4 linked regions of the Arabidopsis thaliana genome follow. The protein of the gene in region 1 purifies or fractionates together with the protein of each later gene. This does not show direct contact. Each region holds a gene or a part of one and is shown in the gene's direction. Other genes may lie near its edges. The genes, in order: AT4G31490, AT4G08140, AT4G19006 and AT2G21390.

Evidence for each region.
Region 2: the proteins of AT4G31490 (region 1) and AT4G08140 fractionate together in Arabidopsis thaliana (co-fractionation; one large-scale study listed by BioGRID). This does not show direct contact.
Region 3: the proteins of AT4G31490 (region 1) and AT4G19006 fractionate together in Arabidopsis thaliana (co-fractionation; one large-scale study listed by BioGRID). This does not show direct contact.
Region 4: the proteins of AT4G31490 (region 1) and AT2G21390 fractionate together in Arabidopsis thaliana (co-fractionation; one large-scale study listed by BioGRID). This does not show direct contact.

The regions. Positions count from the first base shown.
Region 1 is NC_003075.7:15,264,487-15,273,730, forward strand, and holds AT4G31490 (Coatomer, beta subunit), read left to right. Parts: upstream 1-3,959; 5' UTR 3,960-4,153; exon of another isoform or gene 4,154-4,729; intron 4,730-4,962; 5' UTR 4,963-4,973; coding exon 4,974-7,019; intron 7,020-7,237; coding exon 7,238-7,747; intron 7,748-7,842; coding exon 7,843-7,928; intron 7,929-8,002; coding exon 8,003-8,207; 3' UTR 8,208-8,208; intron 8,209-8,321; 3' UTR 8,322-8,744; downstream 8,745-9,244. Other genes in the region: AT4G31480 (Coatomer, beta subunit), read left to right, coding at 1-1,704, 1,932-2,441, 2,534-2,619, 2,694-2,898; CYP83B1 (cytochrome P450, family 83, subfamily B, polypeptide 1), read right to left, coding at 9,191-9,244. UniProt on the Arabidopsis thaliana protein: The coatomer is a cytosolic protein complex that binds to dilysine motifs and reversibly associates with Golgi non-clathrin-coated vesicles, which further mediate biosynthetic protein transport from the ER, via the Golgi up to the trans Golgi network.
Region 2 is NC_003075.7:5,133,105-5,138,134, forward strand, and holds AT4G08140 (26S proteasome non-ATPase regulatory subunit-like protein), read left to right. Parts: upstream 1-2,568; coding exon 2,569-2,621; intron 2,622-2,756; coding exon 2,757-2,877; intron 2,878-2,955; coding exon 2,956-3,036; downstream 3,037-5,030.
Region 3 is NC_003075.7:10,408,640-10,415,141, reverse strand, and holds AT4G19006 (Proteasome component (PCI) domain protein), read left to right. Parts: upstream 1-3,674; 5' UTR 3,675-3,794; coding exon 3,795-3,944; intron 3,945-4,247; coding exon 4,248-4,694; intron 4,695-4,888; coding exon 4,889-4,969; intron 4,970-5,062; coding exon 5,063-5,259; intron 5,260-5,348; coding exon 5,349-5,793; 3' UTR 5,794-5,994; downstream 5,995-6,502. Other genes in the region: CMT2 (chromomethylase 2), read right to left, coding at 53-616; AT4G19010 (AMP-dependent synthetase and ligase family protein), read left to right, coding at 921-1,988, 2,216-2,405, 2,689-2,834, 2,912-2,979, 3,111-3,213, 3,302-3,427. UniProt on the Arabidopsis thaliana protein: Acts as a regulatory subunit of the 26S proteasome which is involved in the ATP-dependent degradation of ubiquitinated proteins.
Region 4 is NC_003071.7:9,149,042-9,158,396, forward strand, and holds AT2G21390 (Coatomer, alpha subunit), read left to right. Parts: upstream 1-2,898; 5' UTR 2,899-3,168; intron 3,169-3,358; 5' UTR 3,359-3,386; coding exon 3,387-3,594; intron 3,595-3,999; coding exon 4,000-4,494; intron 4,495-4,582; coding exon 4,583-7,536; 3' UTR 7,537-7,865; downstream 7,866-9,355. Other genes in the region: AT2G21385 (uncharacterized protein), read left to right, coding at 685-756, 844-935, 1,051-1,156, 1,261-1,359, 1,452-1,517, 1,606-1,722, 1,859-1,933, 2,032-2,134 and 3 more; SRS3 (SHI-related sequence3), read left to right, coding at 9,346-9,355. UniProt on the Arabidopsis thaliana protein: The coatomer is a cytosolic protein complex that binds to dilysine motifs and reversibly associates with Golgi non-clathrin-coated vesicles, which further mediate biosynthetic protein transport from the ER, via the Golgi up to the trans Golgi network.

The DNA.
Region 1 (9,244 bases):
GTGACACTGAGGTTTCTCTGCCGGATGAAGGAGACTGAAATTGTGGAGCCTTTAACTCCATCAGTGTTACAAAATCTGGAGCATCGCCATCCATTTGTTCGCAGGAATGCCATTCTGGCCATCATGTCGATATATAAGCTTCCACAAGGCGACCAACTCTTTGTGGATGCGCCTGAAATGATCGAGAAAGTTCTATCAACCGAACAAGATCCTTCTGCCAAGAGAAATGCATTTCTAATGCTCTTTACCTGTGCTGAAGAACGTGCAGTGAATTATCTTCTGAGCAATGTTGACAAGGTTTCAGACTGGAATGAATCACTTCAGATGGTGGTGCTGGAGTTGATTCGAAGTGTGTGTAAGACTAAACCAGCAGAGAAGGGGAAATATATTAAGATTATTATTTCTCTGTTAAGTGCTACTTCTTCTGCAGTTATCTATGAATGTGCTGGGACACTTGTTTCTCTCTCATCTGCCCCTACTGCGATTCGGGCTGCTGCCAACACCTACTGCCAACTTCTTCTTTCTCAGAGTGACAACAATGTGAAGCTTATTTTACTCGATCGGTTGTATGAGCTTAAGACATTGCACAGAGATATCATGGTTGAGTTGATAATAGATGTGCTCAGAGCACTCTCAAGCCCAAACCTTGATATCCGCAGGAAGACGCTTGACATTTCCCTTGACTTGATTACCCATCATAATATCAATGAGGTCGTTCAAATGTTGAAGAAAGAAGTTGTGAAGACACAGAGTGGAGAACTTGAGAAGAATGGGGAGTACAGACAAATGCTTATTCAAGCCATCCACGCTTGTGCAGTGAAGTTCCCCGAAGTTGCAAGCACAGTGGTCCACCTTCTGATGGACTTCTTGGGAGATAGCAATGTGGCTTCAGCTCTTGACGTGGTTGTTTTTGTTAGAGAGATAATAGAAACAAATCCCAAGTTAAGAGTTTCAATCATCACAAGGTTATTGGACACGTTCTATCAGATCCGAGCAGGAAAGGTCTGCCCTTGTGCCCTTTGGATAATTGGGGAGTATTGCCTATCACTTTCGGAAGTTGAGAGTGGCATTTCAACTATCACGCAATGCCTTGGCGAATTACCATTTTACTCTGTTTCTGAGGAGTCTGAGCCAACTGAGACATCAAAGAAGATTCAGCCTACCTCTTCTGCCATGGTGTCCTCTAGAAAGCCAGTGATTCTTGCTGATGGAACTTATGCTACCCAAAGCGCAGCCTCTGAAACCACATTCTCCTCACCTACAGTTGTTCAAGGATCACTGACTTCTGGAAATTTGAGAGCACTGCTACTAACTGGTGATTTTTTCCTCGGAGCAGTGGTTGCTTGCACGTTGACCAAACTTGTTCTTAGGTTAGAAGAGGTTCAGTCTTCTAAAACTGAAGTAAATAAGACAGTCACACAGGCTTTGTTGATCATGGTTTCTATGTTGCAACTTGGGCAATCTCCTGTTTCTCCACACCCTATTGATAATGATTCGTATGAGAGGATTGTGTTGTGCATAAAATTGCTTTGCCATAGGAATGATGAGATGAAAAAGATATGGTTAGAATCCTGCCGCCAGAGTTTTGTCAAGATGATTTCTGAAAAACAGCTTAGAGAGATGGAGGAACTGAAGGCGAAGACCCAAACAACGCATGCTCAACCTGATGATCTAATTGACTTCTTCCATCTAAAGAGTCGGAAGGTATTATTACTTCCTAAGCTTCCCTTTGCTTTATTGGGTTTTTTTTTCCATATGAGTTTTCCTTTTCAATCTGTTCAGTTCTGTTACGTTGGTGTCTACTTTTTCTTACAGTTCATATCCAATTTTTTTTTTCGCATTCTCAAAGAAAGTTCGAAAGTTGATAGTGGCATGTTATGTTTATTTATTTCGGTCAGTAGTTGAAATTACTGACGATAAGTTTCTTTCAGGGAATGAGTCAACTTGAGTTGGAAGACCAAGTACAAGATGACCTAAAGCGTGCAACTGGAGAATTCACCAAGGACGAGAACGATGCTAACAAACTTAACCGCATTCTTCAACTCACAGGATTCAGTGACCCAGTCTATGCTGAAGCATATGTGACGGTACACCATTATGATATTGCTCTTGAAGTTACAGTAATCAACCGAACCAAGGAAACCCTTCAGAACTTGTGCTTGGAGTTAGCAACCATGGGTGATCTCAAACTTGTTGAGCGTCCTCAGAACTACAGTCTGGCACCTGAAAGAAGCATGCAGATTAAAGCAAACATCAAGGTGTCGTCCACAGAGACGGGAGTCATATTCGGGAACATCGTCTATGAGACATCAAATGTAATGGAGCGAAACGTCGTTGTTCTTAATGACATACACATTGATATCATGGACTATATCTCCCCTGCTGTGTGTTCAGAGGTTGCTTTCAGAACTATGTGGGCAGAGTTCGAATGGGAAAACAAGGTAATTTATTGAAACCTTTTATAGTTGTACCTTCTTTTCGTATGTTTGTTGGAGTTTGGTATAACCAATTCCTGTTGTATTCTTTATGTCAGGTTGCTGTGAACACCACAATACAAAACGAAAGAGAATTCCTCGACCACATTATCAAATCTACAAACATGAAATGTCTCACTGCTCCGTAAGTGTAAATTCTTCTTTCATCCTGTAGAAACGAAAAACTCTTCTTACTAATTAATACTTCTTTACTTGCAGATCCGCAATAGAAGGCGAATGTGGATTCCTTGCAGCAAACTTATACGCAAAAAGTGTATTTGGTGAGGATGCTCTTGTGAATGTGAGTATTGAGAAGCAAACGGATGGAGCATTGAGTGGTTACATAAGGATAAGGAGCAAGACGCAAGGGATTGCCCTAAGTCTTGGGGACAAAATCACCCTCAAACAAAAGGGTAGTAGCTGAGGTTAGCTAATCTTTTCAAAACATATTCTATTTCTCGATTAATACATGTTTTAATCCTTAAACCGCAATTGGTCTAAATTTCAGTACCATACCGATGATTTCTCACAGTGGCGTGCAAAGGTAACAGGTTTAGACTACGTACGTTTCTCTTGAGCAATTATCGTTGGTTGAATCTGCTTATTATATGGAGGGAGGAGGCGTTCAAGGGTATATGTAAAAAGAGTAATTGGCTATCGTTCTTACTTAACCGGTATATTTTCTGGTATGGTACCGATGGATTTCTTCATCTCATATGGCAGTGTGTTTTTTACTGTACTAGACGATTTTGTTTTATTTGTAATGCTTTTTCTTCTATAATGTCGTTTGTTGAGGACTTTAAACCGTGAACTTTATGATATTGTAGATTTCAAAGCTACATTTGGTTTGCTCCATTTTAGAACTCGTCATTTCAGATTTGATCTCTATTCTTTTCTTTCATATGCATTTGAAGTGAACTATTCAATTGTCAAAGCTAGACTTTAATTTGCTAGTAGCTATATAATACGGGTTATGTTAGCAAGTAAGTTGTAATGAAACGCATGTATTAATATGGACCATATTCAAAATCTACAAGCCAAAGAAACCAATTGCTTCACAACCAAACCCATAACATTTGATTCTTACAGCCTTTTCTATTCTCAAGAAAACCAAGCAATAATTTTTAAGCAAAATTTAATAATCTTAAATCACTTGCCTCAAGGTACCAAGGGACGATCACATACACATTCGCGTAACTAGATATCGCTAACATCATTAGACAAGAAAATACTAGACGCGAGTAGAAGAGGAAAGATCCAAATACATCATCTTCTATCATAAAATCATCCATCTCTAACCGAAAGTTGGAGCACGTTTCAAGGAAAAACTGACATAATTCCTAATTACGCTCACTTTTAAAAGTTTGGGGTCGTTTTGGAAACAATAAAAAAGTAGGGGCTATGCTTTCTCAACTTCTATTGGACTGGGCTTGTCAACAATCAATATTTGGGCCTGCGAGGTTGACTCGCTTCTTTCCGTTCTTCGTTTTCCAAACAGAAGGAAAAAAAACTAAAAAACAAAATCGGATTTGGAGGAGTAAACACAAGGGAAGACGAATCCACGATAATATTAAGGACATTTCATAATCTCTCACTTTGTGCGAGTGTTTTTTTTTCCGAGATCCAAAATCTTCTAACGGATCCAAAGCTTTGTTACTCCGTGGATCTCCTACCTTGAGGTTCGTCTCTATCTGTTAAACTTGCGACTCAGATTTCGTAGAGATCGATCCCACTTTTGCTTTTCCTTTGTGAAAATCTACAATGTTCAATATTCTCTGGCGTTCTTTGCTTGATCTCGTTGAATATTGATCCGATCCCGGTAGGCAAACGATTTTCATGTTTGTGCAGCTGAGTGAGACTGCGAACTATGTAGATTCCATTGTTTGTTCATCAAATCTGGGGAGATATATTGCATTTGTGATATGAACTTTGGTTGATCCGAAGCTTTTTTATTATTCGATTTTATGTTAATGTTTTGGTCGTAGTTGTAGTAAAAGTGATGTGTATTGCTGGATCTGAGGATTTGAATTTGTCAATGTCTTGCATCTTTGGGTCGTTGATTAGACATTACCGAATATTCTTCAGCGATTATGATGCTTTCTCATATACCGTGGATTTGAGAACATAGATGCTTTCTTCATTGTACTGAAATATATGTAGAGAGGTGTAGATTATTATTGCTGAGTAGTATTATGGGGATACTCTGAAACTTCTTGTTTAGAACTTACTCGAGCAGTGATGAAGATACTAGTAAGGTGCTTATACTAACTTAGTAATTAAAAGAAAATTCTTAAAATTTTGGATATATTGATTGTTACCTGTGATCTATACTACTTCATTTTATCTTTAAATCGATTTTCAGTATTTTAGGTTCCTATTCTCTATTCGCTTTGAATTTCTTATGTTAACATAGGTACACTTGTTCTTGCATGATTTTTCCTTTTCATATGAGCTCACAATTTTATTTTATTTTTCACTCTTTGTGCAGCACCTGAAAAGATGGACAAATCTAGTACCATGCTTGTTCACTATGACAAAGGGACTCCAGCAGTTGCTAATGAGATTAAAGAAGCTCTCGAAGGAAATGATGTTGAAGCTAAAGTTGATGCCATGAAGAAGGCAATTATGCTTTTGCTGAATGGTGAAACCATTCCTCAGCTTTTCATTACCATTATAAGATATGTGCTGCCTTCTGAAGACCACACCATCCAAAAGCTTCTGTTGCTGTACCTGGAGCTGATTGAAAAGACAGATTCGAAGGGGAAGGTGTTGCCTGAAATGATTTTGATATGCCAGAATCTTCGTAATAACCTTCAGCATCCGAATGAGTACATCCGTGGAGTGACACTGAGGTTTCTCTGTCGGATGAAGGAGACTGAAATAGTGGAACCTTTGACTCCATCAGTGTTACAAAATCTGGAGCATCGCCATCCATTTGTTCGCAGGAATGCAATTCTGGCAATCATGTCGATATATAAACTTCCACATGGCGACCAACTCTTCGTGGATGCACCTGAAATGATCGAGAAAGTTCTATCAACAGAACAAGATCCTTCTGCCAAGAGAAATGCATTTCTAATGCTCTTTACCTGTGCCGAAGAACGTGCAGTGAATTATCTTCTGAGCAATGTTGACAAGGTTTCAGACTGGAATGAATCACTTCAGATGGTGGTGCTGGAGCTGATTCGAAGTGTGTGTAAGACTAAACCAGCGGAGAAGGGAAAATATATTAAAATTATTATTTCTCTGTTAAGTGCTACTTCTTCTGCAGTTATCTATGAATGTGCTGGGACACTTGTTTCTCTCTCATCTGCCCCTACTGCTATTCGAGCTGCTGCCAACACCTACTGCCAACTTCTTCTTTCTCAGAGTGACAACAATGTGAAGCTTATCTTGCTCGATCGGTTGTATGAGCTTAAGACATTGCACAGAGATATCATGGTTGAGCTGATAATCGATGTGCTCAGAGCACTCTCAAGCCCAAACCTTGATATCCGCAGGAAGACACTTGACATTGCCCTTGACTTGATTACCCATCATAATATTAATGAAGTCGTTCAAATGTTGAAGAAAGAAGTTGTGAAGACACAGAGTGGAGAACTTGAGAAGAATGGAGAGTACAGGCAAATGCTTATTCAAGCCATCCATGCTTGTGCAGTTAAGTTCCCCGAAGTTGCAAGCACAGTGGTCCATCTTCTGATGGATTTCCTGGGAGATAGCAACGTGGCTTCAGCTCTTGACGTGGTTGTTTTCGTTAGAGAGATAATAGAAACAAATCCCAAGTTGAGAGTTTCAATCATCACCAGGTTGTTGGACACGTTCTATCAGATCCGTGCAGGAAAGGTCTGCCCTTGTGCACTTTGGATCATTGGTGAGTATTGCCTATCACTTTCAGAAGTTGAGAGTGGCATTTCAACTATTACACAATGCCTTGGCGAATTACCATTTTACTCTGTTTCTGAGGAGTCTGAGCCAACTGAGACATCAAAGAAGATTCAGCCTACCTCTTCTGCCATGGTGTCCTCTAGAAAGCCAGTTATTCTTGCTGATGGAACTTATGCTACACAAAGCGCAGCCTCTGAAACCACATTCTCCTCGCCTACAGTTGTTCAAGGATCACTGACTTCTGGAAATTTGAGGGCACTCCTTCTAACTGGTGATTTTTTCCTCGGAGCTGTGGTTGCTTGCACGTTGACCAAACTTGTTCTTAGGTTGGAAGAGGTTCAGTCTTCCAAAACTGAAGTAAACAAGACAGTATCACAGGCTTTGCTAATCATGGTTTCTATTTTGCAACTTGGGCAATCTCCTGTTTCTCCACACCCTATTGATAATGATTCGTATGAGCGGATTATGTTGTGCATAAAATTGCTTTGCCATAGGAATGTTGAGATGAAAAAGATATGGTTGGAATCCTGCCGCCAGAGTTTTGTCAAGATGATTTCTGAAAAACAGCTTAGAGAGATGGAGGAACTGAAGGCAAAGACCCAAACAACTCATGCTCAACCGGATGATCTAATTGACTTCTTCCATCTAAAGAGTCGGAAGGTAATATTATTATTTTCTAAGCTTTCCCTCGCTTTATTGTGTGTTCTTTTCCTTATGATTTTCCTTCGCACTCTGTTTAGTTTTTATCTGCTTTCTCTTACAGTTCATATCCGATTTTTTCTCCATTTTTAAAGAAAGATGGCAAAAGTATATAATGGCATGTTATGTTTATTTCTTTTGGTCTGTAGATGAGCTTACTGATGATAAATTTCTTTCAGGGAATGAGTCAACTTGAGTTGGAAGACCAGGTACAAGATGACCTAAAGCGTGCAACTGGAGAATTCACCAAGGACGAGAACGATGCTAACAAACTTAACCGCATTCTTCAACTCACAGGATTCAGTGACCCAGTCTATGCTGAAGCATATGTAACGGTACACCATTATGATATTGCTCTTGAAGTTACAGTAATCAACCGAACCAAGGAAACCCTTCAGAACTTGTGCTTGGAGTTAGCAACCATGGGTGATCTCAAACTTGTTGAGCGTCCTCAGAACTATAGTCTGGCACCTGAAAGAAGCATGCAGATTAAAGCAAACATCAAGGTCTCGTCCACAGAGACAGGAGTCATATTCGGGAACATCGTCTATGAGACATCAAATGTAATGGAGCGCAATGTTGTGGTTCTTAACGACATACACATTGATATCATGGACTATATCTCCCCTGCTGTGTGCTCAGAGGTTGCTTTCAGAACTATGTGGGCAGAGTTTGAATGGGAAAACAAGGTAATTTACCGAAACCTTTTAAAAGTATTACCTTCTTTGTTTGTTTGTTTGTTAGATTTTGGTATAACCATTGCCTGTTGTATTATTCATGTCAGGTTGCTGTGAACACCACAATTCAAAACGAAAGAGAATTCCTCGACCACATTATCAAATCCACAAACATGAAATGTCTCACTGCTCCGTAAGTGTAAATTCTTCTTTCATCCTGTAGAAACGAAAAACTCGTCTTACTAATTAATACTTCTTTACTTGCAGATCTGCAATAGCAGGTGAATGTGGATTCCTTGCAGCAAACTTATATGCAAAAAGTGTGTTTGGTGAGGATGCTCTTGTGAATTTGAGTATTGAGAAGCAAACGGATGGAACATTGAGTGGTTACATAAGGATAAGGAGCAAGACGCAAGGGATTGCTCTAAGTCTTGGAGACAAAATCACCCTCAAACAAAAGGGTGGTAGCTGAGGTTAGCTAATCTTTTGGAAACATTTTCTATCTCTCAATGCAATCCATAAATGTTTGAATCCTTAAACTTTTAATTGGTCTAATTTTCATTACCATAACGATGATTTCTCACAGGCTTGGAATGATAGCGTGCAAGGTAAAAGGTAAAAGGTTTAGGCTACGTTTCTCTCTTGAGCAATTTTTCGTTGGTTGATTCTGTTTACTACATGGAGAGAAGAGTCGTTTAAAGGATATGTAAAGAGTAATTTGTTATTATTCTTCCTAAGCCGGTATATTTTCCGGTATGGTACCGATGGATTCTTCCTCAACCGGCTGTCTTTTTACAGTACTAGACGATTTTGTTTTATTTGTAATACTTTTTCTTCTATAATCTTGTTTATCGAGGAGACTGAACTGTTGAACGCGTTATCAATAGTAGATTTCAAAGTTACATGGGTTTGTTCCATTTTAGACTCGTCATTTCATATACGATCTCTACTTCTGTTTTTTTTTTTCTTGCCTTTCGTGGTTCTCTCTTTTCGCAGAACAAAAGTTTTTCTTTTCCTACTTTTCTTTCGTATGTGACGTAGGACAACATATTGGCAAGATGCTATCCAAAGTCAAGTCTTCCACTACTTATCATTGTCAACGAAACTTCCTCATGTATTCATATTATTGTTTTTAGCAACATGTTGGTTTCTTCGTCATAAATTCATATTATTGTTTGTTAGCGACATGTTTTTGTTTTCTAGTCATATATTCACATTATAGATGTTTACTAAGATAGCTTAAAATATTGTAAACCAGAGGGAATATTAAAGGGACCCGAATATTAAACATCGGACTACTTTCTTTTCTAGTCCAAAAACAAGAGCACTGATACATTTTTATTCGTTAAAATGAGAACATAGTACTCATTAAAACAAAAAGGGATATTGCAATGAAAAATAACCATTGGTCACGCCATATCTACCAGCAGAAACGTCCTAATGATATATATAGCATCAGATGTGTTTCGTTGGTGCAAGAACGAGGTGTTCTTTCTTGTGCATAGCGAG
Region 2 (5,030 bases), about 10 Mb from region 1:
CCAAGACATATCCGCCTGCCTCCTCCTGGCAGTCACACTCCGCCACCACAAATGTGCATCCCCCTCTAGAAAATGCACTGCTAGATCTACCCGATACTCCGCCGAGCATCTGCTTGAACCGAAGTTCCGCTCAACCCGCGACCTCCAATTGTCGGCCTCCTCAGGACTAGTACCACCAGAAAAATAACCGGTGCCAATCCTCTGCAACTGCTCCATCATCCCCAAATAAGATGGAACCTTCTCAGCAACCGCAGCCCGCTGCTGCACCTCCGCCGCTCGTGGCGCAACTGGAGCCTCCACTGGTACCAAACCTGGTAACCGCTCCAACAACTGCCTCACAAGGCCCGCCAAACCAACCTTTGGAACCTGGGCTCCTCCGGCTGCGGCACACATCACTCCTGGGCCCTCAGCACCAACGGCATGCACACCGGTACCGACACCACCAGCCCCCACTCCGGTTGCACCAGCTATATCGGCACCAAGACCGTTCCTAACCCCGGGCTCCACAAACTCAGGTTGCGAACCCACTCTGCTCAACTGTGGCACTGTGGCCATCACTCTCGCCGGTACCCTCGAGGACTCGTCCCCTACCGCGACCACGACCGCGACCACGACCACGAACTCCAGCTCCTCTAACCATCTGCGCTACTCAAAAACAAATGGCTAAGAAACTAAAACAAACGAATATATCACAAACAACTTACCGTGGAATCTCATTTAAGGCTTGGAGAAGATGATGCTAGAACTCCAACAACACACAATTGACTAAACACTCCATAATCAATCCTCAATATGCTAACACCCTAGCTCATCCCACATCAATCAACAGGAAAATAATTCATCAATTAATTTTTCTACACATCTTAGAACCGTAATCGCTCTGATACCAAATTGAAACAACCCGACCCATTTTTTTTAAAAAAAATAATTAAATATTTCCATAAATATCTAATTAAACCAACCAATAGAATAACAATTAAACCACAAGTCAAAAATACTATTTAATGAATAAATAAATAATTCGACCAACAAAACCAAGAATAACTAACAATCCTAACCGGGTTCCAATAACCAAAAACACCAAAAATAAAACAAACGAGTTCCTAGATCATCCTCTCTTCCTTGCCATGATTCCACGATCACACTTTATCTTTACCTGTATCAACAACACAATGAGATGCGTAAGTATTATCATAAATACTTAGTGAGGCGATCCTCCCATCTACGAGCTATACACACAAGCAAATAAAAAGGTATAATCACGAATACAATACAAACAAACCAGTCATTGAACAATTCATCCAAAACACATTCACCACACCTACATATCATCACACAAAACAAATCACACAACCCTATCGCTCAGATAAGCTCATGGTCACGCACTCACCTTAACAAATTGATTCTAATAGCAATTAAACCCAGGAGAGACTCTCCTTGCGTCTGAAACAGTCCAGAAACGTCCTACAAAAAGTCCACAACCAAAAGCAACCTTGAAGCAAACTGGACAGGAAAAACCAGAAACAAGCAGTCTCAAAGACGAAACCCTCAAATACAAACTAACCGTTAACTATTCAATCTCTCCGGTGAAATCCTAGCTGCAGACGTCACAAAGCTGACCACAAAATCTCGTGCCGATCGGAAAACAGACGAGACCACGATCTCAGTTTCAATCTCCGCTGGTCCTAATTCGCGTCTGAGAAAACGTGTCTCACGAAACTGCGAATAACTCAACCAATTTGAATCCAAATCCAATTCTGTAAATTGGAGAATAACGATAAAGGACTTGGGAATAACTCTGCCAAATTTCGTTACCTTTTACCACGATTTGATATGACGAAACTGATTTCTCCCAAACCCTAACGATTCTGCTCGTTCTCCTTTTCTCTCTTTTTCTCCTTTATAAAACGAAAAGTGGCTAACCAAAGCCCTAATTTCGAGTTTACTTCTTTTATAGGCATACTCTAAGGTTTCCAATTAACCCAATCAATTAAACCGGATGATTTAAAAACAAACTCTAACTGATTTTCCGGTTCACGGGCGTTACAAAGAGGAAGTTAGAATGATGAAGATGGAAATGAACAAAGAGAGGATGGAAAAGAACAAAGAGAGAAGAAATGAAGATGATAATCGTTTTTTCCTATGGTTGTTCAATCACCATGGCAATTGGAATGTTGTGTCTATAGTAGAAAAAAACTTATTTATCGGTTTTAATTTGGTTTATTTTTGTAATAAATCTTTTCATCTTTGATTCGATATGATGAATCTAATTATGAAGACTAAGTGGGTTCGTATTCTTTTCTTATTACGAGAACATATCAATTACAGTATTGTACGTGGTTTTACAAAGCATAAGGAGATATACAAAAACAAAACAATAAGCATGTTCAAAGTGAATGTTTTGTTCGTCATTAGTATAGCCGGATTAAAAAGTTGCTAACTTGTGCTGTGAGGAGAGTTTTTTTTTTTATATATGTTCACAGGACTAATGACTCGACTTACATTGGGTTGTGATTGTAGTCTTAAGAGGATTTGGAACTAAAGCAGAACCTTAAGCTCTATGTTGAGATGGTTCAGGATCCTAATCCGGACTTGCAGAAGGCTGCTCTTGAGAGTATGAGGTAATTCTTGACTTGATTAGCTTCGGGTTTTCAGATTACTGTCTTTGAAGCTCATAATTTATAAAGTTTTTCTTTCTTTTCTGCTCCTTGTGTTCTACCCTTGTTGGAGTTTTTAATTTTTTTTTGGTTTTGTAGGCAGGAAATCCGAGCTTTAACAAGTTCAATGACTTCAGTTCCCAAACCACTAAAGTTTCTGCGTCCCCAGTATGTAACTCTTAAAGCGTTTCATGAAACAATGGCTGATTCTAATCTCAAGGTATGTCATCATTGATTTCAAGTTATTAACAATTCTTATATTGGTATGGCTTAAAAATTACATTTGCTATGTTTGCAGAAGTACATTTCTGATATCCTGTCTGTCCTGGCCCTTACCACGCTCTACAGATTGCACTATTTCTTGATAACACGAAGGTAGAACTGAGCCTTCTTTAATTCATCTAGTAGTTGTTGTCTGAGTTTGATTTGTTGATTTTGCTTTTGATATGTGATTATTTGATGTCTGCTTTTGATTAGTTGATGTCTGCTTTTGATTATTTGATGTCCGGTTTTGATTATTTGTTGTCTGCTTTTGATTAGTTTATTTGTTTCTCTGTTTAAATGCAATATATTTTTGAGTTGAGATAGCATTACATTAATATTTTAAATGCTTAGAAGAAAGTATTTGTTCTCTATGGTTAAATAAAATTCTAACACCTTTGATCAAAAAAAAAAAAAAAAAAAAAAAAATTCTAACACCTAATACTAACTTGAAGCTTTTAAAAGCTCTCTCTTAGTTATTGCGCTCAAAATTTCTCTGAATTGGTCTAAGCAATAAAAGCTAACTGTTTTTTAACTGTGATAAATGCATGTTAACTAGTGTATTTTGGAGTGGTTTACATTGGGTAAAAGTATTATCATAGTTATGGTCTATTTTATTGAATGCTTGGTAGGTTAAGTGTAAGTAAAAGCTCTATGTGATTTATTGCTCTCTGTGATCAATATCAAAGAGCTTTAACTTAACACCCTACCCTAACTTGAAGCTTCTAAAACCGCATCTATTTAACAACATAACTTCAAGCTGAAAAACACAGTTTAAATCACATAACTTCAAGCTGAAAAATCTTTCTCTTATCTTTTTAACAACCAAACCAAACAAGGTTATGGATTCCTTTAAATCTTTCCCTAATCATCTTTCAAGAGAATCAAACCATTCCACCAATTCAGTTTGAACGTTTTCCACCTAACATAGAACTTGGATCATCTGATGTCCATGTGTTTAGTACATTGGTTTGATGATCAAGAGAAAGATGAAGCGCCAATTGCAGAGAGGAAATCAAGACGCAAATGGTCTCTAATAGAAGATTTGGTCCTGATAACTAGCTGGCTGAACACGTCCAAGGATCATGTTGTTTCCAACGGGCAAAAGTCTAGAACCTTCTGGCAACGCATAACTGATTATTTTGCTACAAGTCAGAAGCTCAAAGGTTTTTGAAAAAGAAGCACATTATGCTGTAAACAGAAATTTGCAAAAATAAATGAGGGTGTGAACAAGTATGTGGGAAGCTTTATGCCTGCAACCAAACACCAAACAAGTGGCCAAAATGATGATGATTTGGTGAACTTGGCTCATCAGATTTTCTACGAGGACTATGGCGCCAATTTCACCCTTGAACATGCTTGGAGTGCGGTTCGCTATGAGCAGAACTGGTTAAGTGAGTTTCCTACAACAGGAACAGCAAAGAGAAGAAAGTGCAAAGAACAACAAAGAGAAGAAAGTGTCTGTGTTCCAGCTGGCATTGAAGAGAACCAAAGCCAAAGCAAAATTCGTTCCCCTGGAGTTAAGGCAGCTAATACCAAATTCCAAGCCAAGCCGAGTAGTGCGTCTGGTGACAATCTGAAAGAGTTACAACTTATTTGGGATATTAAGGAGAAAGATTTGGCGGCGAGAGAGAAGCTAATTAACAAAGAAGAGAAGAGAAGAGAATATTGGTCTGACTAAATTGCTTGAACAAATCTTTGCCAAAACTGAGCCTCTAACTGACATAGAGATAACTCTTAAGAACAAGCTAATCTCTGATCTATTGAATTAAGTTATTAATGTGTTCAGTTTATGTAATGTGGTTTGTAATGTGTTCCGTTTCATGCTCTTTGTTTGTTTTAAGTAGTTGTGTTTGTTTTGTTTCAGTTTATGTGTTTGTAATGTTGAATTTCAGTTTCAGTTTAGTTAGTATTAATGAATGTTGGCTTATATTGTTTGTGTTTGCGGTTACATGAGTTTGCAGCAAAGTCCATGTGGTTTGTAATGTATTCAATTTCATGCTCTTGTGTTTGTTTTAAGTATTTGTGTTTGTTTTGTTTCGGTTTATGTGTTTGTAATGTTGAATTTCATTTTCAATTTAACTAGTATTAATGAATGTTGGCTTATATTGT
Region 3 (6,502 bases), 4.9 Mb from region 1:
CATTGCATTGCGTGGCTACTAACAAGAACAAACAAAAAAATTGGCGAGTAACCTTATCGAGAGCACTATTACTCTTTCTCTTCCTCGACCCAAACTTTCCAGTCACCGGAACCGAGCATACACTGTCAAAATTTCCATCCACCGCCCTAAATCTCGGCGACCTCCGAAGCTGACAACCGTTCGTCAAAGTAAGCAGCGGCTGTGACTTACCACGAGAGAACTTCCTCTGCGAAACTCCCCCTTTGGTAACCGGAACCGAGCATACATTGTCGAAATTTGCATGCAGGGCCCTAAATCTCGGCGACCTCCGAAGCTGACAACCGTTCGTCAACATAAGCAGCGGCTGTGACTTACCACGAGATGACTTCCTCTGCGAAACTCTCCCTTCTCCTCCGTTCTCTTCAGGCGAATTACAATTAAGCGTCGTGGATCTCCTCAAACTCATCTCTCCGTTGTCGGGGAGCTTTATGAGTTCTCTAGTAGAGGACGGAGCAGCTTCTTCAGGATTGGGACACCAGAGGACAAGAGAGAGACATTCCGGTTCAGATCTAGAAGAAGAATGGAGATCCAATGGAGCTTGAGCCTCTTCTGACTCACATTTGGCCGGCGATAACATCAGAGAATATAAAGAATCTAAAAGGGATCCAAAGTAGCCAATAGGGAAACAAAACTGAAAAAGGGAAGAAATCAAGTGAGTGTGTATTTTTTGACTATTGTACTTTTTTTGCTAACAGACTGTCACGTGTCACACGTGATCTTCTTGCACTCTCTGTTCTTCGAAATCAATTAATTGCAATTAGTACATAATAATAGTGTTACAACTAAATTAATTATTTTACTAAACTATTCCGTCGTTGGTTTATTTCCCGATCAGAAGTAAATATTGATCGCTGCAGAATCTTAAACTCTGCTTCTCTCTAATGGCGGCGACACATCTTCACATACCGCCAAATCCTAAAACCCAAACGTCTCACCAAAACCCTCCCTTTTGGTTCTCTTCTAAAACAGGAATCTACACCAGCAAATTCCCTTCCCTACACCTCCCCGTCGACCCAAATCTCGACGCCGTCTCCGCTCTTTTCTCACACAAACACCACGGCGATACAGCGCTCATCGATTCCTTAACCGGGTTCTCAATATCTCACACTGAGCTACAGATTATGGTTCAATCAATGGCGGCTGGGATCTATCACGTTTTAGGTGTTCGTCAAGGTGACGTTGTATCACTCGTCTTGCCTAATTCCGTCTATTTTCCGATGATTTTCCTCTCTTTGATCTCGCTTGGTGCTATTGTTACTACCATGAATCCTTCGAGTAGTTTAGGAGAGATTAAGAAGCAAGTTAGTGAGTGTAGTGTTGGATTAGCTTTTACTTCTACTGAAAACGTTGAGAAGCTGAGTTCTTTGGGGGTTAGTGTGATTAGTGTATCTGAAAGTTACGATTTTGATTCGATTCGTATCGAAAACCCGAAGTTTTACTCCATTATGAAAGAAAGTTTTGGGTTTGTACCAAAACCGTTGATTAAGCAAGACGATGTAGCTGCAATTATGTATTCATCTGGAACAACTGGAGCTAGTAAAGGAGTTTTGTTAACTCATAGGAATTTGATAGCATCAATGGAGCTTTTTGTGAGGTTTGAAGCTTCTCAGTACGAATATCCGGGATCGAGTAATGTTTATCTAGCAGCTTTGCCTTTGTGCCATATCTACGGGTTATCACTCTTTGTGATGGGATTGTTGTCTCTGGGATCAACTATTGTTGTTATGAAGAGGTTTGATGCTTCTGATGTTGTTAATGTAATTGAAAGGTTTAAGATCACTCATTTCCCGGTTGTTCCACCTATGTTGATGGCATTGACAAAGAAGGCAAAAGGAGTTTGTGGTGAAGTGTTTAAAAGTTTGAAGCAAGTTTCTTCTGGAGCAGCTCCTTTGAGTAGGAAGTTCATTGAAGATTTCCTTCAGACTCTTCCTCATGTCGATTTGATTCAGGTCTCTGAATTTTACTTTTGGATGTCGTTTTAGAAAACTGAATTAAATGTTATTCATTCATAAACTCAATAAGAAGTAGAATCTACATTTTTTAGAAAAATTTGACATCTCTTCCCAAAAGAAACAACTAAAATTGATTTAACGAGGCCATGACTTTTTGACTCACACTATTATTTTCTTTACATTTAGCTGAAAGTGTGTATAAAATGGATCACATTTTGTTGCAGGGATATGGAATGACTGAATCAACTGCAGTTGGAACACGGGGCTTCAACTCGGAAAAGCTTAGTAGGTATTCTTCTGTGGGACTACTGGCTCCTAATATGCAAGCCAAGGTAGTAGATTGGAGCTCTGGTTCTTTCCTTCCACCAGGAAACCGAGGAGAGCTCTGGATACAAGGTCCCGGTGTCATGAAAGGTAGATAGATTCTTCCTACTGTACTTCTTTACCAAAATAGTTGAGATTTTCCTTCTCAGTTCATGAATAAAGTCTTTTGTCAATGGTTCAAATCACTGAGAAACACTTGCATCCTAATAAATGTAAATATAGATTGGATCTTCCAACTTTCGTGGGGCTTATTTGGTGCTTGTGTTGATAGATTAGGCTTATTATCTTGTTCTTGATTTTGTGCTACATATTTTTATGGAACAGTTTTAATTTTACTTGGAGAGAATCTGAACACCGTTCATTTGTCTGTCAGGATACTTGAATAACCCAAAAGCAACTCAGATGAGTATAGTTGAAGATAGTTGGCTACGTACTGGGGATATTGCTTATTTTGATGAAGATGGTTACTTGTTTATTGTTGACCGTATTAAGGAGATTATAAAGTACAAAGGCTTTCAGGTAAAGGAACAGCAGTTTCTCTTTCAGCCAACTCTAAATTAGGAAATATTAATTCTTTGCATTTATGGTTTTTGCAGATCGCTCCAGCAGATTTGGAGGCTGTTCTTGTTTCACATCCCTTGATTATCGACGCTGCAGTAACAGCGTAAGTTCGAAAAAACAAATCTTGATCATTTACTAAACTAGTTTAATAAGTGAAAGATACTGCAAATCCAGTTTTGGAGAATTCGACAGAGTCTGTTACTCTACTGAAAGTATCCAAACTTTCCATTTCAGTGCCCCAAATGAAGAATGTGGAGAGATTCCGGTAGCATTCGTTGTCCGGAGACAAGAAACAACACTTTCAGAAGAAGATGTAATAAGCTATGTAGCTTCTCAGGTTAGGTTCCCACTAATTCAAAATGGCTTTTCCCATTTCAAAACACTGATCATTAATGTAATACATTATTATACATTACGTGTTCTAGGTTGCACCCTACAGGAAGGTGAGGAAAGTGGTGATGGTCAACTCTATACCAAAATCTCCAACTGGGAAGATATTGAGAAAGGAACTAAAGAGAATTCTTACAAACTCTGTTTCTTCAAGACTATGATTCTTTCTTCATTTGTTTGGTAATAAGTAGCAGACAGAGAGATCCACTAATATAGCCTTCATAACTCAATTCATTGGTTTTGTAGCATCAAAAGAAATAAACAGACACATTCTTTGATTCTCAGTGAATAAAGCATTGTAACCCAATACGGAAACAAAAATTCTTTCTGAGCCCAAAATGTAATTTTAGCCTTAGTATTTTATTTACATAAAAGTCCTTTTAATCGTTGGCTATTGCATTTATCGCCCAATACTTGTCTTTGAGCTCAAGAAATATAGTTTACTAAAAGGCTGGGTTTTTCTGGATTTCTTACTCCCAAACCGATACAAGATCGAAGCTTTGCCTTCTGTTTCTTCGAAAATCTACCATGGCTGCTCTACAATACCTTGAATCGCAGAAAAATGCGCACCCAGAGCTTGGTGAGTGGTACAATTCGCTCGCAGATCTGTACCAGAAGAAGCTCTGGCATCAGCTCACTCTTAAGCTCGAGCAGTTCATCGCTCTCTCTGTCTTTCAGGTCAATCTCTTGAATTTTCATCGTTTCGTAGTTCTTCTGTGTGATTAGGGTTCATAGATCTCGAGAAAGTTAATAGGAGTCGTCATGTTAGACTTGGGTTTATAGAGAGATCTGAAGGATTCGTTCCGACTCTTAGGTGATTTTTCAGATTCATTGAAAAGCTTTGTATTGGTGAATTATCGCACTTCTGTGACCAAAGCTTTCGAATATTTTAGCTCAGAGATACCCAAAAACTCAGCTTTACAAGGTTTACAGATTTGTTAATGACGTGTTTCCCCCTGTTTATGTTCATAATCTTTGCAGGCTGGAGATGCTTTAATACAGCTTTACAACAATTTCATCACTGACTTTGAGACGAGGATCAATCTTCTGAAGCTTGCGCATTTCGCTGTTGTAGTCTCCCGACAGTATCCTGAGAAAGAAGCTGCAGTTAGTTATCTTGAAGGAGTGATTGAGAAGCTTAAAGCTACTAAAGAGTCAAGGATAAATGAACCAATTAGCTATATAGAAACACAAATAGCTTTGTTCAAGCTTGAGCAAGGTGACCAGAAGGAGTGCAAGAAAATCTTGGACGATGGAAAAAGCCTGCTTGATAGTATGACTGACATTGATCCATCAGTTTATGCCAACTTCTTTTGGGTCTCTTCTCAGTACCATAAAGTCCGTCAAGAGTTCTCTGAGTTCTATAAAAATGCTCTTCTTTACCTCGCTTATACGTCTGTGGACTCACTCTCGGAATCATTTAAGCTGGTACGTCCCTCTGAATGTTCTAATCATTCATATATGATATATGTAGTCGTTACGTTACCAAATGGTCTTTTAGCAATTTTGGATAAGTATTAGCACTCTATGAAAGGAAACTTACAGTGAAAAATGCTTTATCTCTGTAAATTGCTTTGTGTTCCAATCAAAATGTTAATATCATATACTTTCGTTTCTTTCAGGATTTGGCTTTTGATTTGTCGCTTTCAGCTCTACTTGGGGAGAATATCTATAACTTTGGGGAACTGTTAGCCCATCCAATTGTAAGTTTCCCTTCATCCTCCAAATTAGCAAACCACAGATTTATTCACCATTATAGATAAAAGAACACTGACATGTTATATATGTTATGGCAGTTGAAAAGTCTGCTTGGAACAAATGTGGAATGGCTTTACCACATTCTACAAGCATTCAACCACGGAGATTTAGTTCAGTACCAAGAACTCTGTCGTGTGCACAATGCATCGTTGAGTGCTCAACCAGCACTGGTTGAGAATGAGAAGAAACTATTAGAGAAGATCAACATTCTCTGCCTTATTGAGATCATTTTCAGGTATTCATTCTCTGTAGGAGTCATCTTATACCCATATACAGATGAAAACAAACTTAGTACTTAACTTGTATATAACATCTTTGCCACAGCCGACCTGCTGAAGATAGGACCATACCTTTGAGTGTCATTGCCGAGCGTACTAAACTTTCAATCGAAGATGTTGAGCACCTTCTCATGAAGAGCTTATCGGTGAGTACCTTTTTCTTTCCTCTCTCTTTCTCTCTATCTCATTCTATCAGTAACATTAAAAATCTAAAGAAGATTGGCAAGACGCAGACTCGAAATCTTCTTGAATGTGTGATTCTGTATTGGTTGATTGTGAAAACTGAGGAGAATGAGTTATTGCAGGTGCACTTGATAGAGGGAATACTAGATCAGGTGAATGGAACAGTTTACGTCTCATGGGCGCAACCGAGGGTGTTAGGAATACCGCAGATCAAGTCATTGAGGGATCAGCTAGACAGCTGGGTCGATAAGGTTCACACCACATTGTTATCTGTTGAGGCCGAGACACCTGATCTTGTTGCAGCTTAAACTCTTCTTTCCTCTTTTTTCCTTCACTGTTCGTTTAAGCTACAGATTGTAACATTCTCTGAGGATTAAATGCAACTTCCTTTTAAGTTTTTAGGTATTACAGTTATACTTTTGAACTTTGTTCTCCACAGACACATGAATCTATCCTATTAAGTTGAGTTTCATCGTTAGTGTTGCCTTTAAGGCTTAAGCCTATTTGCATAACAAATGGTCCAACTTTTGTTATTAGACGTGTGAAAAACTCATAAATCTCAAATAGTGGAATGAATCCAAATTGTCAACTTCTGAAATGAAAAGTGTAAGGGTAAAATAGTCAAAACATATTAAACCCCAATTATCACCATCGTTTCGTTTCAATCAAAATTTTCCGATTTTGAGATTTTGAAACAGAGCAGTCAAGTCTCAAAGACTCCAGCTCATCTGTCTGCTTCGTAAGCTGCTCGCTCTCTAAATGTTTTGTCTTCTGGGGAATAGATTTTAGGGATCATCGGTAGATGCTGTTGGATTGACATAATCCAGATCTGATTTCTTCTACAAAAACATAGCTTTCTTCTCTGGGAACAATAGATTTTGATTGTTGTTTCTGGGTTTTAGATTTCTAATGTTGGGGTTTTGGTGATTCGATTTCTCAATAATGCTTCAAAATCGAAAATTGAATCGGTTAGAGCTATTTTGGGAATCTCTTTGCGTTAATTCGAATTAGCATATT
Region 4 (9,355 bases), on another chromosome or scaffold:
CTATATGGAAGTCTGTTTGTTTGCTAACATTTTCCAGAACGGCAGGCTCGAATTCTTTTATTACAAGTTGTTTTTTGTTTTCTTGTATGTAATGTCTTTGTTATATCTTTCTGTTCAAAATGTGGTAAAGAAAGAGGAAACATAACATGCTAACAGAAAAATAGGAAACATATCATAGCCGTTTCATAGTAAGTTCAAAATTTGAAGTAAGTAATTAAAAATTATTTTGCTAATTCATGAAATTTGTGTACAGTTTTTTAGAAAAAACATACAGTTGTACAATGGAGAATAGTGTACGAATGCAACAGTGATACACAAGAACACCAAACTACACCAATTATCATCGATGAATTACTGCAAACCACACAAACCTTTGATCTCTTCTAACTTATATTGTAATTTTTAATTTTAATAATAATTTTTACTTAGTTATATCTATGCTAAATTCTTATTTTTTTTTAAGAAATTTAATACATACCGAATTTAATACACCAATAACACATGTAAATATTTTTGGATCAGAGTGGTTGTTACGGCCCAATGGATCTAGTGAGCCTAAATGATACGACCATATATTGTTTTTTTTTCGGTTTTCGCCAACGAGGATTTGGTTACCGAGAGTTTGTTTGAACGGTCCTCAGAAATTCGGAGCTTGTAGCTTCTCGGTGCGGTGCCTTCACTTTAATGGCGGCAATATCCCCTGTTCAATGCTTATTCTCTTGCAATTCTCATCATCATCATCAACAACGCGAGCAGGTGAATCTCTCTGTTCTTATTTCTTCATAATTAGCGAGAACTACCTTCTTCTTGTTATGACTTCATTCCTCCGTTTTTTTCAAGTAGAGTGGGTCGCTTTGGAGATTGGGTTCTAGGGTTTTAGTATCTTCGAGTCTATGGAAGCTTTCTCTGTTCTCTGGACTCCATTTGAACCGAAGGTGATTATGTTCTAGTTAACGATTTCAGTAGGATTTGGCCCTTGAAGCGATGATTCTGTGTAATGCAGTTGGATATGAGATAATTGATTGCAATCTTTTGGGTCTAATAAAACAGGAGAACTTTGATCTGTGCAGTCAAGGGAGATCCAGAAGATGCCTTTAAGAAGACTGTCGAAATCGATCGGATGATTGATGCTCTTAGAGATGCAAACCCTAGACAAGTAAGGAAACATGTCATATGCATCGTATAAATGTTGTGTTTTTGCTCTATTATCTTGAGTAAATTGAGTTTTGTTTTGTTGTTGTTGCCATTTTCATTGAACAGGTTGAGAAGATTGTTGTTGAAAATATCCTTGCTTTTGATGAGGTTTTTTGGATAAGACTAGCAGCTAGGTCGGATACTTGTAAATCAGAAGATGACAAGGCATGAGTTTATATTGTTTATGTCAATGATAGAGCAGACTTTTGATCTCTTTTGTTTCCGCTAATGCTTTGAATACGGTTTGTTTCTTACAGAAGGACTATGAGGAGTTAGCTACAACTGTGATGACTATAGTTGACTGTGTTGTGAATAAGACTCGGGTTTCTCTTTCTTCTGTGGTTTTATTGTCTCTTCTTCTTCAGCGTTTACTTAAACAGGGATAACTGAGAGTTCATTATATCCCTTTAGGAAAAGATAGAGACGTCTACTGATATTCTGAAAGGGATTTTAAGACCTGCTATAGATGGAGTGGAAGAGATTTCATGGCCGCCAAGAGATCCTGAAGCCATCAATCTAATGAAAAAGGTTTATACTAGTTGTTCTTCACTTTCTACTACATCTACACATTTTTTATATATACAACCTATATTCAGAAGGGTTATCTGGTCTTAGATTCTGTGATTTGATATCGTCATGGTTACTGAGATCAGTGTATTAACAGGAAATTATACAACGGGAAAAAGAAGGGCAATTAGATGAAGGATTTCTTTCAGAAGTTAATGCTCAGCTCCGGCAGGTAAGTGCTACAATTTGTTTTGTTTCACTTCTGAGGTCTTTCCTTTACAGTGAATAGATGTATTCTTTTGAATGTTTGAGGCTGACGATTGTTTTCAGGCAAAAGAAGATAAAGACAAACCAGGGTTATTGGCTATGCTGCAAAAAGTTCTTCAACTCTATTCTGCTACTATCCTCTCCAAGCGTAGCTACGCAAAGAAAGGTGATTTGCCCAATTTTGAAAACTATGCCAAGTCACTCTAAACCATTTTCTACGAACATAATCTCATCCACTATAGCTATTGTCACAGGGAACGAAGTTGTAAAAGCCGAGCATTTTCTTGAAACTCTGATCAAAGGTCTGTTCTGCAACCACTTTTCCATGTACTATAGACCCCAGCCAGACTTCACATCGGTTTATTATGTGTGTTTCAGCTCCTGAGGAACAATGGAACAAGCTTTTCGTAGACGGGTTAACAATCGGAAAAGGAGATATCACACCTGATGAGCTATCTGCTGTTATCAAGAAACGAATCGAGCGCACACTGATTCGAACTGTAAGTAACATACCATGACACATTTGCTTGCATTGTTATTATTCTCTTCAGGAGTGAATGCGAGGCTAACCGGGTTTTGGGTTGGGGTTTTAACCAGATATTGTTTTCTAAAATTCATCATTCTAACCACAACTATTCTGATCATACCAGGAAGGGGGTTCATACCAGCAGCGAATTTTGACCGAGTATCTCAAAGGAATCGAGTCCAGGGCTAATGAAATTATGAAATTACTCCAGGGTTAATGTCGTAAATCATGTATTTATCTATACATTTTTGTGTAATATCAGTTCAATAACCCCAATTAATATATTGTTTTCTCTCATGTAATAATTTTTTGATTGAGCATTTGAAGTGTTATCTGATTTAAAAATATGAAGCTCTGTAGTCAAAATTTTACAGATTTTAATTATCTTGGAATAAAAAATGTAAAGTTGATGCTTCCATATAAAATAAAAGTAAAAATGAGTAATTCATGCCAATTAAATTAGCGAGACGCAAATTGGAGACAGAGATAACTGAGCGGAGGGATTCAGATCTATACGACGAAACTGAATCTCACCGTCTTCTTCTTCTTCTTCTTCTTCTAGACGATCCTTGTGTTTCTCTTGCTCTCGCATCCACGCTTCTCTGGTAATGCTACTGATCGTCACCGTGAAGCTGAGCTTGATCGCTTCCCCTTGTGAACTGATCTGATCTGAGGTGAATCTCTATTTCTTCTCCTTCTTCATTGTACGAATCTCGATTTCTCGGATCTTGCTGCTTCTTATCGTTAGATCTGTTTTCAATTTCACGTGGATTACGTTTTTTTTCTTCCTTTTGCGGGTTTTTCGATTTCTTTGAACTGATCTTTCTCCATGATTTTCATTCTCTGTTGATCTGGTTTTTGTAGAGTTGTTTCTGTTTCGTAATCTGTGAATATGCTGACCAAGTTCGAGACCAAGAGTAACCGAGTTAAGGGTCTGAGTTTCCACCCTAAACGACCATGGATTCTCGCGAGTTTACACAGTGGTGTGATCCAGCTCTGGGATTATCGTATGGGTACTTTGATCGACAGATTTGATGAGCACGAAGGACCTGTTCGTGGTGTTCATTTCCACAACTCACAGCCTTTATTCGTCTCTGGAGGTATGCTTTGTTATTGGTAGGCCAATAAGTCTGTTTATTACACTTTCATGATCGATAAATCCTGATCTGCTTAAGTATTAACCCTTAGCTAGTTAGCTTCCTCGGTTCCTAGATCTAGCTTGGTCTCCCAACCTTTGTTTAATGGATGACTTAAGCTCTTATAGTCCCAGCTGGAGTAAATAATTTGTGTTTAAGTTACTTATATAACATATTGGATGATTTGGACCTAGTGCATTGAAACCAGATCTTATGGTACATGTTGCATAGTATTTTATTTGAACATAAGTAAGTACTCAAACAACTAGAAATGCAAATGGCTTGGATTCTTCTTCGTTACAGTTATAATGCTCTTACAGAACATTACTCATATGTAGTTGATGGCATTGATTACATTGGATGTTGCAGGGGATGATTACAAGATTAAAGTTTGGAACTACAAAACTCACAGGTGTCTTTTCACTCTTCTCGGGCATCTTGATTATATCCGCACTGTCCAATTTCACCACGAAAACCCATGGATTGTGAGTGCTAGTGACGATCAGACTATCCGCATTTGGAACTGGCAGTCTAGGACTTGTATTTCCGTGTTGACTGGTCACAATCATTATGTTATGTGTGCTTCTTTCCATCCAAAGGAAGATCTTGTTGTATCAGCATCACTGGATCAGACTGTCCGTGTTTGGGACATTGGTGCTCTTAAGAAGAAGTCAGCATCTCCTGCTGATGACCTCATGCGATTTAGTCAGATGAATTCTGATCTTTTTGGAGGGGTTGACGCTATAGTTAAGTACGTCCTTGAAGGTCATGATAGAGGAGTCAACTGGGCTTCTTTTCATCCCACACTTCCTCTCATTGTCTCTGGTGCCGATGACCGCCAAGTAAAGCTGTGGCGTATGAATGGTATTTCTTATGGATATCTGTCTTCTTCTTCACAGAAAGTTAATTTTATGAATCATTGAGGTACTGATGCGTTTCAATTTTGTTGCAGAAACTAAAGCTTGGGAGGTGGATACATTGCGAGGTCATATGAATAACGTTTCATCCGTTATGTTCCATGCAAAACAGGACATTATCGTGTCAAACTCTGAGGATAAAAGCATCCGTGTCTGGGATGCTACCAAGCGAACTGGAATCCAAACTTTTCGTCGTGAGCATGACCGATTCTGGATTCTTGCAGTTCACCCTGAGATTAATCTACTTGCAGCAGGACATGACAATGGTATGATTGTTTTCAAACTTGAGAGAGAACGTCCTGCATTTGCTTTGAGTGGTGATTCGTTATTCTATGCCAAAGATAGATTTCTGCGGTACTATGAATATTCAACTCAAAAAGATTCCCAAGTTATTCCTATACGGCGTCCTGGTACCCCAAGCTTGAATCAAAGTCCGAGGACTTTATCCTACAGTCCGACAGAAAATGCAGTCTTAATCTGCTCAGATCTGGATGGTGGTTCTTACGAGTTGTACATCATACCGAAAGATAGCGTTGGCAGGAGTGATGTTGTACAAGATGCAAAGAGGGGGACAGGGGGTTCTGCGGTGTTCATTGCTCGAAATCGGTTTGCTGTTCTGGAGAAAAGCACCAGCCAGGTGTTAGTGAAGAATCTAAAGAATGAGGTGGTTAAAAAGAGTTCTTTACCTATTCCCACAGATGCTATCTTTTATGCTGGGACTGGAAATTTGCTTTGTAGATCTGAGGATAAAGTGGTTATATTTGACCTTCAACAAAGGCTTGTTCTTGGTGAGCTTCAGACACCGTTTGTTAGGTACGTTGTTTGGTCTAACGATATGGAGAGTGTTGCTTTGCTCAGCAAACATACTATCATTATTGCGAGCAAAAAACTTGTCCTACAGTGCACGCTTCATGAGACAATACGTGTGAAAAGTGGAGCATGGGACGACAATGGTGTCTTCATTTACACTACTCTGAACCACATCAAGTACTGTCTGCCTAATGGAGATAGTGGAATCATCAGAACCCTGGATGTCCCAATCTACATCACCAAGGTGTCTGGAAATACAATCTTTTGCTTGGACCGGGATGGGAAAAACAGGGCTATCACCATTAATGCAACCGAATACATTTTCAAGCTTGCACTACTGAGAAAGAAATATGATCATGTCATGAGCATGATAAAGAACTCCCAGCTATGTGGACAGGCTATGATCGCTTATCTTCAGCAGAAAGGATTTCCTGAAGTTGCCCTACACTTTGTTGAAGACGAGAGGATCCGATTCAACTTGGCTCTTGAAAGTGGCAACATCAGTGTAGCTGTTGCATCCGCTACAGAGATTAATGAGAAAGACCACTGGTATAGACTCGGAGTGGAAGCTCTTCGTCAAGGAAATTCTAGAATTGTTGAGTTTGCGTACCAGCAGACAAAGAACTTTGAGAGGTTATCTTTTCTATATCTCATTACTGGCAATTTAGACAAGCTGTCAAAGTTGATGAAGATTGCAGAGGTGAAGAACAATGTAATGGGTCAGTTTCACAATGCACTCTACCTAGGAGATGTTAAAGAGCGTGTTAAGATACTAGAGAATGCTGGTCATTTGCCTCTAGCTTATATCACAGCTTCGGTTCATGGTTTAACTGACATTGCTGAGCGACTAGCAATTGAGCTAGGAGACAATGTGCCTTCATTGCCTGAAGGGAAGACTCCATCGCTTTTAATGCCACCGTCTCCCATCATGTGTGGTGGTGATTGGCCTCTACTGAGAGTGATGAAAGGAATATTTGAAGGAGGACTTGAGAGTGCAAACAGAGGGGCTGTTGATGAAGAAGAAGAAGATGTTGAAGGCGACTGGGGTGAGGGACTTGACAAATTCGATGTTGATGGAATGGAGAACACAGACATCGAAGCCATATTGGATGGTGCAGAAGCAGGTGAAGAAGAAGACGACGAGGAAGGTGGATGGGGACTTGACTTGGATCTTCCACCAGAGCTTGACACTCCTAAAGCCTCTGCTAACGCACGTTCATCTACTTTTGTGACACCTCCTCAAGGTATGCCCGTAAGTCAGATTTGGAGTCAGAAATCTTCCCTTGCTGCTGAGCAGGCTGCAGCAGGAAGCTTCGACACTGCAATGCGTTTGCTCCACAGGCAGCTTGGCATTAAGAACTTTGCGCCTTTGAAATCGATGTTTCTTGATCTGTTCAGTGGGAGCCATAGCTATCTGCGTGCCTTTTCTTCATCTCCTGTGGTTCCTCTTGCCATTGAGCGTGGATGGAGTGAGTCTTCCAGTCCTAACGTCCGTGGCCCGCCAGCTCTTGTTTTTGATTTCTCTCAGCTTGAAGCAAAGCTCAAATCCGGCTACAAAGCTACAACAGCTGGGAAACTATCTGAGGCTCTTCGTGTCTTCCTCTCTATTCTCCAAACCATCCCATTGGTGGTAGTTGAGTCAAGAAGAGAAGTAGATGAGGTTAAGGAACTGGTCATCATTGTTAAAGAATATGTCCTCGGTCTTCAATTGGAGCTCAAGAGGAGAGAGATGAAAGATGATCCGGTGAGGCAGCAAGAGCTCGCTGCTTACTTCACTCACTGTAAACTTCAAACACCTCACCTACGGCTCGCGTACTTCAGTGCAATGACCGTCTGCTACAAGTCAAAGAACATGGCTACTGCTGCTCACTTCGCCAGAAGTTTGTTGGATACAAACCCAACTATTGAGAGCCAGGCCAGGACGGCTAGACAAGTTATGCAAGCAGCTGAACGCAACATGACAGATGCAACAACACTCAACTACGACTTTAGAAACCCGTTTGTGATATGCGGGTCCACTTATGTGCCAATCTACAAAGGACAGAAAGACGTTGCATGTCCTTACTGCACTGCCCGGTTTGTACCAAGCCAGGAAGGTAACATTTGCTCGGTCTGTGATCTTGCAGTCATTGGCGCAGACGCATCTGGCTTGCTATGCTCTGCCTCTCAAGTCCGGTGAACAAGTCAGAATGATTATGTGCTTCAATCGTGAGGTAAGTACGAGATGCTCTTTTATGGAAGAAGAGTGTTGAGCTTTTGGTGTTTGTGAATTTTCCGCTGCAACTTCTATTACTCTTTAAAGTCTTTATGTTGTTTCTTATCTTAGTAACAAACGCATGAGAACTTTATCTTCTTGCTTTATCTCTTTTTGTTTGATTTTATTTTTACAGTCTCAGGACATTTCATTTAGGCTTATCGGATTTTAAACTCGATTGAGAAATATAGACGTAATATTTTATAAATTTTCAGAATTGTATCCATTTTCTTTTGGTGAATTTTCAGTTGATGCCTAATTTACTATTCCAAATACTTATAAAATTATCGAAAAAGTTAGAAATATCCAATAAATGTGGTTAGTTAGATGAACCGTTAAGACTGGTAGATAAGCTCACGGACAAACTCTCGAAATGACTCGATCACAGCTGCCTCTTTACTTCTTTTCTGTTTTTTAATTTGTCCGGTCGCTTGAATTTGAGTGTGAGAGAATTTTCCACACATTTGTCTTCCAAAACTATCAAGATCATGTAGCTGCTTCATGGATCCTCAAAGCAACTACATGAACGCTTCCTAGCGAAACATGACCGTTGATAGTCATGCCAGTCATGTCATGGAACCCCCTCCGGCACACGAATGATGGAGTTTTGTCCACTGTCAAACTGCATTCTAAAAAGCTTTCCAACTTCTGGATAAACAGAATCCTATGATGAACACCATCCATATCAATCGACGAATCTCAAGTTCTCGTCCAAAACATTAAACATTCGTGATCTGGTCCAAAACACTAAAGACTAAAAATTCACTTGATTAGAGTTAAACTGTTTAAGAACTTCCCACCTTTCAAATCGATGTTTCTTGATCTGTTCACTGAGAGCCATAGCTATCTGCGTGCCTGTCCTAAAGGTGATTTTTGGTTTGTGTTCCATACTATTTCTATATATAGAGGCTGATATAGTGTGATGATGTAGCTTATATGGACGGATTGAGAGCATGATTCTGCAAATATGATATTTTTATGTAATCGAGTTACAAAAATTTGACACAATAATCTTGATTTATACCAAGCAATTTGCAAGGAATATGAATAAAATTACGGCCGACAATGGTACAAAGCATCGATCATTTATAATTCATATAGAAAATATAACCATAAGAGCCCCACTCATCATCATTATAAGAAATCTGTGGGATAGATATACATGAGTATAATATAGTTTTATATGTAACCGGATAAAATTATTCCGTTGTTGTATAGTGGAGAAAAACCGCATAAACTTCCCGAAAATAGAAAAGAATAAGCAACCCCCACACAACTTTTGCGATAAAACTAATCACTACAAGAGTTGTCACTGAAAGCATCTAAAAATGGTTAAGTTGGGGAATGCAAAAAACTTCACACCTGAAACCACATAAAGACTACTAAACCCCTACAAATTTCTAGTTATATTCAGGGTATTTAACTATTTATTATTGTAATTGAACCATCATTTAGTATTGTAATTTTTGTTTGAACCACTTAAACTGTAGCTACCAATCAAATTCATTAAAAAGCTTTAAAAAATAACAATAACTTTCCAGTTATTCATAGAAGGAAAAGCAAAGAACTATAAAAAAAGACTTATTCTCTTTCTCTTTTTGTACATAAAGAGGAAGCAAACAAAGAGAGCCAAAATGGTCGACATCTTCTAACAATTATTTATACTAAATTATATATTCACACATATCATGCTTATATATATATACACATGTATATAATGGGAAGGCAGAGGTAATGATGATGA